2 linked regions of the Elephas maximus indicus genome follow. The protein of the gene in region 2 interacts with the protein of the main gene of each other region in a biochemical or structural test. Links are inferred from orthologs where the notes say so. Each region holds a gene or a part of one and is shown on either strand. Other genes may lie near its edges. The genes, in order: TOR1A and TOR1AIP2.

Evidence for each region.
Region 1: the proteins of TOR1AIP2 (region 2) and TOR1A form a complex in vitro, tested with the Homo sapiens proteins (4 studies listed by BioGRID and IntAct, with this or other methods). The link is inferred for Elephas maximus indicus from reciprocal best matches to the Homo sapiens genes TOR1AIP2 and TOR1A.

What each region holds. Positions count from the first base shown.
Region 1 is NC_064827.1:80,756,269-80,760,191, forward strand, and holds the start of TOR1A (torsin-1A), read right to left. Parts: upstream 2,804-3,923; 5' UTR 2,429-2,803; intron 2,179-2,428; exon of another isoform or gene 2,158-2,178; 5' UTR 1-2,157. UniProt on the Homo sapiens protein: Protein with chaperone functions important for the control of protein folding, processing, stability and localization as well as for the reduction of misfolded protein aggregates.
Region 2 is NC_064842.1:42,817,239-42,821,161, reverse strand, and holds the start of TOR1AIP2 (torsin-1A-interacting protein 2), read left to right. Parts: upstream 1-888; 5' UTR 889-1,037; intron 1,038-2,449; exon of another isoform or gene 2,450-2,510; intron 2,511-3,923. UniProt on the Homo sapiens protein: Required for endoplasmic reticulum integrity. Regulates the distribution of TOR1A between the endoplasmic reticulum and the nuclear envelope as well as induces TOR1A, TOR1B and TOR3A ATPase activity.

The sequences.
Region 1 (3,923 bases), on a different chromosome or scaffold from region 2:
TATTATGTCTCTTTAGGCTCTTTTTGGTTGTGACAGTTTCTCAGACATTTTTTTTTTTTTAATAGTGCTTTAGATGGTTTACAGAGCAAATCAGTTTCTCATTAAACAATTAATACACATATTGTTCTGTGACATTGGTTGCCAACCCTGTGTCAACACACTCCACTTCTTGACCTTGGGTTCCCAATTTACATTTGTCCAGCTTTCCTGTCCCCTGCCTTCTTTTCCTTGCCCCTGGGCTGGTGTGCCCATTTAGTCTCGTGTATGTGGTTGAGCTACATATTTTATTGCTTGTTTTATGGGCATATCTAATCTCACTAAAGGGTGAACCTCGGGGTGACTTCCGTATGGAGTTAAAAGGGTGTCAGGGGCTATACTCTCAGGGTTTCTCCAGCCTCTGTCAGACCAATAAGTCTGGTCTTTTTTTTTAGTTAGAATTTTGTTCTGCATTTTTTCCCCCCGATCTGTCCAGGAACATCTATTGTGATCCCTGTCAGAGCAGTTGATGGTGGTAGCTGGGTACCATCTAGTTGTGCTGGACTCAGACTGCTGGAGGCTGTGGTAGTTGTGGTCCCTTAGTCCTTTGGACTAATCTTTCTCTTGTCTTTGGTCTTCTTCATCCTCATTTGCTCTGGACAGGGTGGGACCAGTGGAGCATCTTAGATGGCTGCTCACAAGCTTTTAAAGCCCCAGATGCTACTCACCAAAGTAAGATGTAGAACATTTTCTTTATAAACTGTTATACCAGTTGAGCTAGATGTCCCCCGAGATCATGGTCCGCAGCCCTCACCCCAGTATTTCAGTCCCTCAGGGTCTCAGACTTTTCTTGTTTTTGAAGACCTCAACAGTTTTGAGGAGTACTGGTTAGGTATTTTGTAGAATGTCCCTCAGTTGGGATTTGTCTCATGTTTTTCTCATTAGACAGGGATTATGGGTTTTGGTGAAGATCACAGAGGTAAAGTGTCGTATCAAGAGTATATACTCTTAACACGATGTATCAACTGTTAACGTTGGTCTTGATCACCTCACTGAGGTAGTGTTTGTCAGATTTCTCTGCGGTAAAGTTAACCCCCCTCTTTCCATACTGTATTCTTGGGAAGAAAGTTACTATGCTCAGGCCCACACTTAACGAGTGGGGAGTTATGCTTCTCCTCCTTGTGGGTGAAGAATCCACATAAATTATTCGGAATTCCTCTGCATGGGATATTTGTCTCATTCCCCCCATTTATTTGTTCAATCATTTGTATCATATGGACTGATGGATATTTATACTTTGGATTATAGTCTATTTGTTACTCAAGTTGTTCCAGCTTTGGCCATTGGCAGTTCTTTTAGTTGACTCCTGTGTCCCTTTGACATACCCCTACTGATCTGGTAGTGTGTGGTTTTTTGTTATTGTTGTTCATTTGTTTTGTTTTTAGCACTTCTTTACCTTCTGGCACTACAAGATGCCATGGGCTCATCTTGTATATTTCCTACCCCAGTCCTAGAAACAGCAATTTCTTATAGGAACTCTAGTCCCATTTACTGGAGAATGGTGTTAGAAAGCAGCCCTGGTGGCACAGTGGTTAAGAGACATGACTGCTAACCAAAAGGTCAGCAGTTTCAATCTACCAGCTGCTCCTTGGAAACCCTACAGGGCAGTTCTACTCTGTCCTATAGGGTCGCTATGAGTTGGAATCGACCCGACAGCAACAGGTTTGGGTATTAGTAACCAAGATCTGGGTAGTAGGTGTGCTAGCTGATACCGGGGAATCATTAATTTTAGGCCCTCTCAGCTGACAGAGCAAAGAAATATATGTGTGTACTTTAACCCATGTGCATACACATACTTATAAATACTTCTACACGTAACTATCTGTATATTATGCTAAACATGAGTTTGTACTGATGTTTCTAACTCTAATCCATCACCATAGGGATCATAGGAGCCTCCTGTCTTTGCTTATCTGTAAATTCTTATTTCAACAGTGAAAAACCTGGCTCTCGCCATCTGGTGGCCACTTTTAGAACAGGCAAAAGGCTACACTTACTCTGGCAAGCAGTGTCATTCACCTACTCACCCATCCATTCCATTCAGTAAATATTTGTTGTGTGCCAGGGAATATGCTAGGTCCTCAGTATTCATCTTGGTTACCCCTGCACCATCATAGGGACCTGAAAAACATTTGTTGAAATATTTTTAAGGTTCAACTTTTTGACATCGTGAATGAATAATTTCTTTTATAAGGATCAGCACAAAGCTGGTTCCTATGAGGCAGAGGTTAAAGATGTCCCAAATGTCTAACTTTTCCAAACTGCTGTACCACTCCATCATCTCTAAAATCAACTATTTCCCCTCCCCTCAGTACTCTCCCTCCCATTTCTGAATTCTGTAATTTGCTGCTATGTCTCACAGAACTCACGAACTGTCAAGGAAATGGCTCACATGGTTGTGGAGGCTGGCAGTTCCCAAATCCGTGGGTCTGGTGTCAGGCTGGAGGCTTCTCCTGACTCACATGGTTTGCAGGGGCTGACAAACCCAAATCAGCAGGTCAGATGACAGGCCGTTGGCTTACAGGCTGTGGAAGCTGGCCAATCAGGTCAGATAGGCTGCTGGTCCAAGTTCCAAGAATCAGAGGTCAGATGATGACAAGCCGGATGCAGGATCCAGAGCAAAAGAGAGAACTTTGCCAGAGCATTCATATATTGGATGGAGACTATACCCTCAAGGAAACTTCACTTACTTGAGCAAGGCAGTGCAAGGGTATGACTTGAATAAGGGCAATAAAGGTGGTGACTTGAGTCACACTCTCTCATAAGGTGGTGACTCAAGATACATCTCACCCTAATCCTGCCTCATTAACGTAACAGTCAACTCACTCCCAAATAGGATCATAACCATAGGCATAGACTAGGATTTATGACATACCACAAAATGGAGGATAATTACATCAGACCACAAAAAATGGAGGATGGCTACATCATTACATGGTTGCCAAATTACATCATTACATAACTGCCAAACCACTGAAAATCATGGCCCAGCCAAGGTGACACACAACCTTAACCATCACAGGTTCCGTACATTTTATCTGGCTTAACAGCAAGCTGTCCAATCCCCTTTGTGAGCCATAGGCACCTTATCTGCATAGTCCCACCCAATCACTGTATGGGAATCACGAAGACTGTGGCTAGAAGGACCATATTCAGTAATTCACTGTACTGCACATCAAAAATAACAAATGGTATTGAACACCTATTATAAGTCAAACACTTTACATATCTCTAATCCTCACAATGCTGGAGGTAAGGATTATTCACTCATGCATTCTTTCATATTTCTGAGGACCACCTGCATACCAGGCAATGGGCTAGGTCCTGAGGAGGCAAAGGAAAAACGAGGCATACATGGGTTCCTGCCCTCATTGACCTTGCATTCTAGTGGAGAAAACAAAATAATCTTCATTTTACAGACGACAAAATTGAGCCTCAGCGGGAAAGGTGTTTGTCCAAAGACACAATTAGTAAGCTAAGACAGGGCTCAGATCTGACCGACTCCAGAGCCAAACCTCTCTAAAGGCAACACCCACTCTAAATCAGCCCCTAAGTCAACTGACCTGTTCCTTCCTCATCCCAACCTGTGCAAGTGCTCAGGAAAAATAACAGCACAAGTGGCCATGTACTTGTGACAGTGAAAGGACACTGGATTGGTGGAGCATGTCCATGTCTTTTGAACTAAATGAGAAAATCTATCTCAGTAATTCAGTTTTGCATTTGAGCTACCCAATACCTGGCCTTTGAAAAATTACCTAATGTTGGTTAAAGAAACATATTACAAACAACAAAGTTGGATTCATTTCATATTTAATAATTAAGTGCTAAAAGTGATAGAAATGAATTTTTTTTAATGAAAACAAGCAGGTAACTTTGTAAAAGTCAGA
Region 2 (3,923 bases):
GACTCATAGTGACCCTATAGGACAGAGTAGAACTGCCCCCTAGAGTTTCCAAGAAGCGCCTGGTGGATTTGAACTGCCGACCTTTTGGTTACAGCCTTAGCACTTAACCACTACGCCACCAGGGTTTCCTCTAAGGGAGGAGTCAGACAAAAATCAAAAATAGTGTGTTGGTCATAAGTGTCATGGCAAAGGAGGCTATTTACTTGGAGAAGTGAGTAGATATCTTCTGTTTTGTCTTGCACTGATGTTCAGAAACTGGAAAACCTGAATTTTAGACTTAATTTACTTTGCCCCTAACCAATCATATGTTCTTGGGCAAATCACTTCCCTTCCTCCAGTTTTCACATTTATAAAATTAATAGGTCAAAATAATACCTCCTTTTTATTGATCATTCACTAATATCATTTAGCAGCTATCGCTCTCTACGTCATCTCATTTACTCACAGCAACCGTATTAGTCAGGTAGTATTGGCCCCACTTGATGCACGAGCAGACTGAGGCTTAGGTTAAGCAACTTGAAAAGACACACCTAGTAATGGCAGAGGCCGGATTCTAAGCCAAGTCTGACTGGTGCTTGTCGTTATCATTTGGTACCGCCTCTCACTGTCATGGTTCTGTGGGTTTTTCCAGCCTATGAATTTCAGATCCTTAAGGGGTCAGGGGCGTCAGACGTCTTGTAGAGATGCCTGGCTTCTGGTCAGGTACCAATCAGCATAAGAATCTTGGGATGTCTGCGGTTCTGTTGTGCGCATTTACCAAGTCTTTAGTTCCAGCGCCCCGCTGGCTGCTGGGGTTTAGGGTGTGGAGGGGAAGAGAGGGGGAAAGAGAAGGGAGGGGAGAGACCGGGAGACTACTAGTCCCAGCATGCCGTGGGCGCCTCCCGGCGGAGGTCGCCGTCACGTGAGCAGGGGACAGGGGACAGGAACGGTATTTAGCGGCTGCGGCCGTGGGGTGTAGCCCAGTGTTGTGGAGCAGGAAGAACACTCGAAGGCTCCCCGCACATTTGACAGTCGACGGTTTAAAACACCTGGAATTTGTAAGTAAACAAAATGCATATTCAACTTTTCTATGTTTTAATATTTGAACGGATACCTTCTCCTTTCAAACGCTCTTTGAGAAACGATCCCTCCCCACCCCCACCACCCTACCGCAAAAACATTAAACGGGGTAGGATGGGGGTATATTTTTGTTTTATAGTAAAAAAGGATAAACAGAATTTTAAAAGTACTAAATAGGATAAGGTGAGTGTATTTTTCTTTTTTTTGGAGAGTAAAATGAGGAGCAGAATTCTTATAAGGTTCAAAGAGTAAATGGGAAATACGAATACTAGTGCAGGTAGTGAGTAATCTTTACCTCCTTGAAAAAAGTGACATGTACCTCACAAGATCCCATCGTTCATCTTAATCCTTTTAAAATAGTTAACTTTTTTTTGTTTTTAAAGCCTTTAAAGAAAAAAACCAAAAGAAGCAAACTGGTTGACATTGAGTTGATTCTAACTCATGGCAACCCTGTATGTGTAGAGTTGTACTCCATATGGCTTTCAAGGTTATGACCTTTCAGAAGTAGATAACAGGCCTGTCTTCTGAGGCCTCTGGGTGGGTTCAAACCGCTATGCTTTCTATTAGTAGTTGACGGCTTACCTCTTTTTACCATCCAGGGACTCCTTTTAAAGCCTTAATGGTGCTAAGAAGCACAAAGTTTGAAGTTTTTGGAAGACCCTACAACTGACTTTTTCCTTAAAACCAAAAAACCAAATGCATTGCCGGCGAGCCCATTCTGACCAATAGCCACCCTATAGGACAGAGTAGAACTGCCCCATAGGGTTTCCAAGAAGCAGCTGGTAGTTTTGAACTGTCGACCTGTAGCTCTTCACCGCTGCTCCACCAGGGCTCATTTACTTACGTACTACATATTTAAAAAAAAAAAAATTGTTATGGAATCAATTCTGACTCAATAGCGATCCAGTGGGTTAGACTAGAACTGCCACATAGCGTTTCCAAGGCTGTAATCTTTACTGGAGCAGACTGCCACGCCTTTCTCCCTCGGATCCACTCCCGGATTCCAACCGCTGACCTTTCGGTTAGCAGCGGAGCACTTAACTACTGTGCCACCAGGGCTCCCATTTTTTATATATGAACCCTACTTTCTATTGTATTTCATACCCAATGAAAAAGTTTACACCTTTTTCTTCTTTCAACCAAGCCTGTAGTCCTCCATACTTTGGCACTATCTACTTTGTCAGCAGTACTTGTTAGACTTTATACTGTTACACTCACATGGATATGAGTTCACTCTGATTGAACATACTGGCTTTGTTTCACTTTTATCTATCCTTAGGTTTAAGAGCAGTTATTTTGGGTCTATATGAGAGATGTTTTCCTTGTCTGTTTTTTAAGAATTAGAAACATGGCAATTATCCATATTTATCTGTTTTATTTTATTTTATAGCACGTGATTAGTATATAAACGGCCAGTGGAAAATCAATTTAATAGAAAAAGGAACTTCATGGTAAGCCACAAAACCAAACCAGTTGCTATAGAGCCCACCCTGACCCACGGCGACCCCAAGTATGGCAGAGTAGAACTTTGCTCCATAGGGTTTTCAAGGTTGTGACCTTTTGGAAGCACGTTGCCAGGCCTGTCTCCCATGGCACCTCTGGGTGCGGGTCGAACTGCCAACTTTTTGGTTAGTAGGTGAGGATTTATGGTCACGTGTTTAACTGTTTATGCCATCCTGGGACTCCAGTATATAAATGGCCAGTGGAAAATCATTAAATAGGAAAAGGAATTTCATGGTAGAGGAACTAAAAATGTCCTTGGAAGCCTTTGTGTGGATCAGAAGAGTTTGAAAAACTGATATTCGCTGTGAAAAAGTGACAGCCCTCAGGAATGTTTATTATGTTGAGTATAGACTCCACAACTTGATTACCGGTTTTGCTGCTGGTTTATCACATAACCTTGGGTGACTCATTTAAGCTCTATTTTTCCTAGTTTCCTATCTAATGTAGAGGTGACAGTATTAGCCTAAAGAGCTTCTATAATTCACAAATAAACCGACTTCAGAATTTAGCTAATTGTTTGAGAATTATTGGATATTTTAATAATTTATTTTGTCTCATATATAATTTATTTTGCCTAAAAAATCATTTCAAATTATATTCTACAAAAATGTATGTTTCTGTAAAGTGCCACCTGAGTTTGCTGAAGGAAGGTTTGCTCAGAATAGCTACACTAAACAAACCTCTTTTAAAGGGAAGGATTCCAAATGTAAAAGCACATAAAGGGATTCTACAAGCTCCAAAAAAAATAACAACTAAAAATGGCCTCTTTTTGTTTTTGAACTTAAGATTTTAGTTGTATTAAAATCTTATTAATATTTCTGTACCTTTCAAACTACTCATTAAACTGCTTGCTACAAGAGAGAATTCAATACGGTGATTATATTTTATCATAAACTTTAAACAGAAAATCAAGCATTTGGGAATAAGGAAGGATGTCCCCAGCGTTGGTTATGAGCATAAACTTTGGAGTCAGGGTTGGGTTTGAATTCCTGTTGTGTCAGTGTGACTTCAAGCTCATTTCTTCACTTACAAAGTGAAGATTCATAGGGTAATTTGGAATATTAAATGGGATAGTTTAAGGACTCAGTAAACGGAAATAGTTATTGCTCTTTGGGCTACTTTTCTCTTCATTACTATAAAAGGAGTTGGCACATGATTTTGGTGGTTGAAACAGAAAGGAAGAGAATTCACCTATAACTCTGCTACCGCAACAAATCAAATTGTTTTCATTTTTATATATTCTCCTTCAGACTTTCACCGTAGGTATACATAATGTAAAAATGTAGTTACCTTTGTGCAAAAAGTCAAATTTAAAACATTGGTTTGTTAACTTCTGAGGGTTTTGTTTCACCCACGTAAAC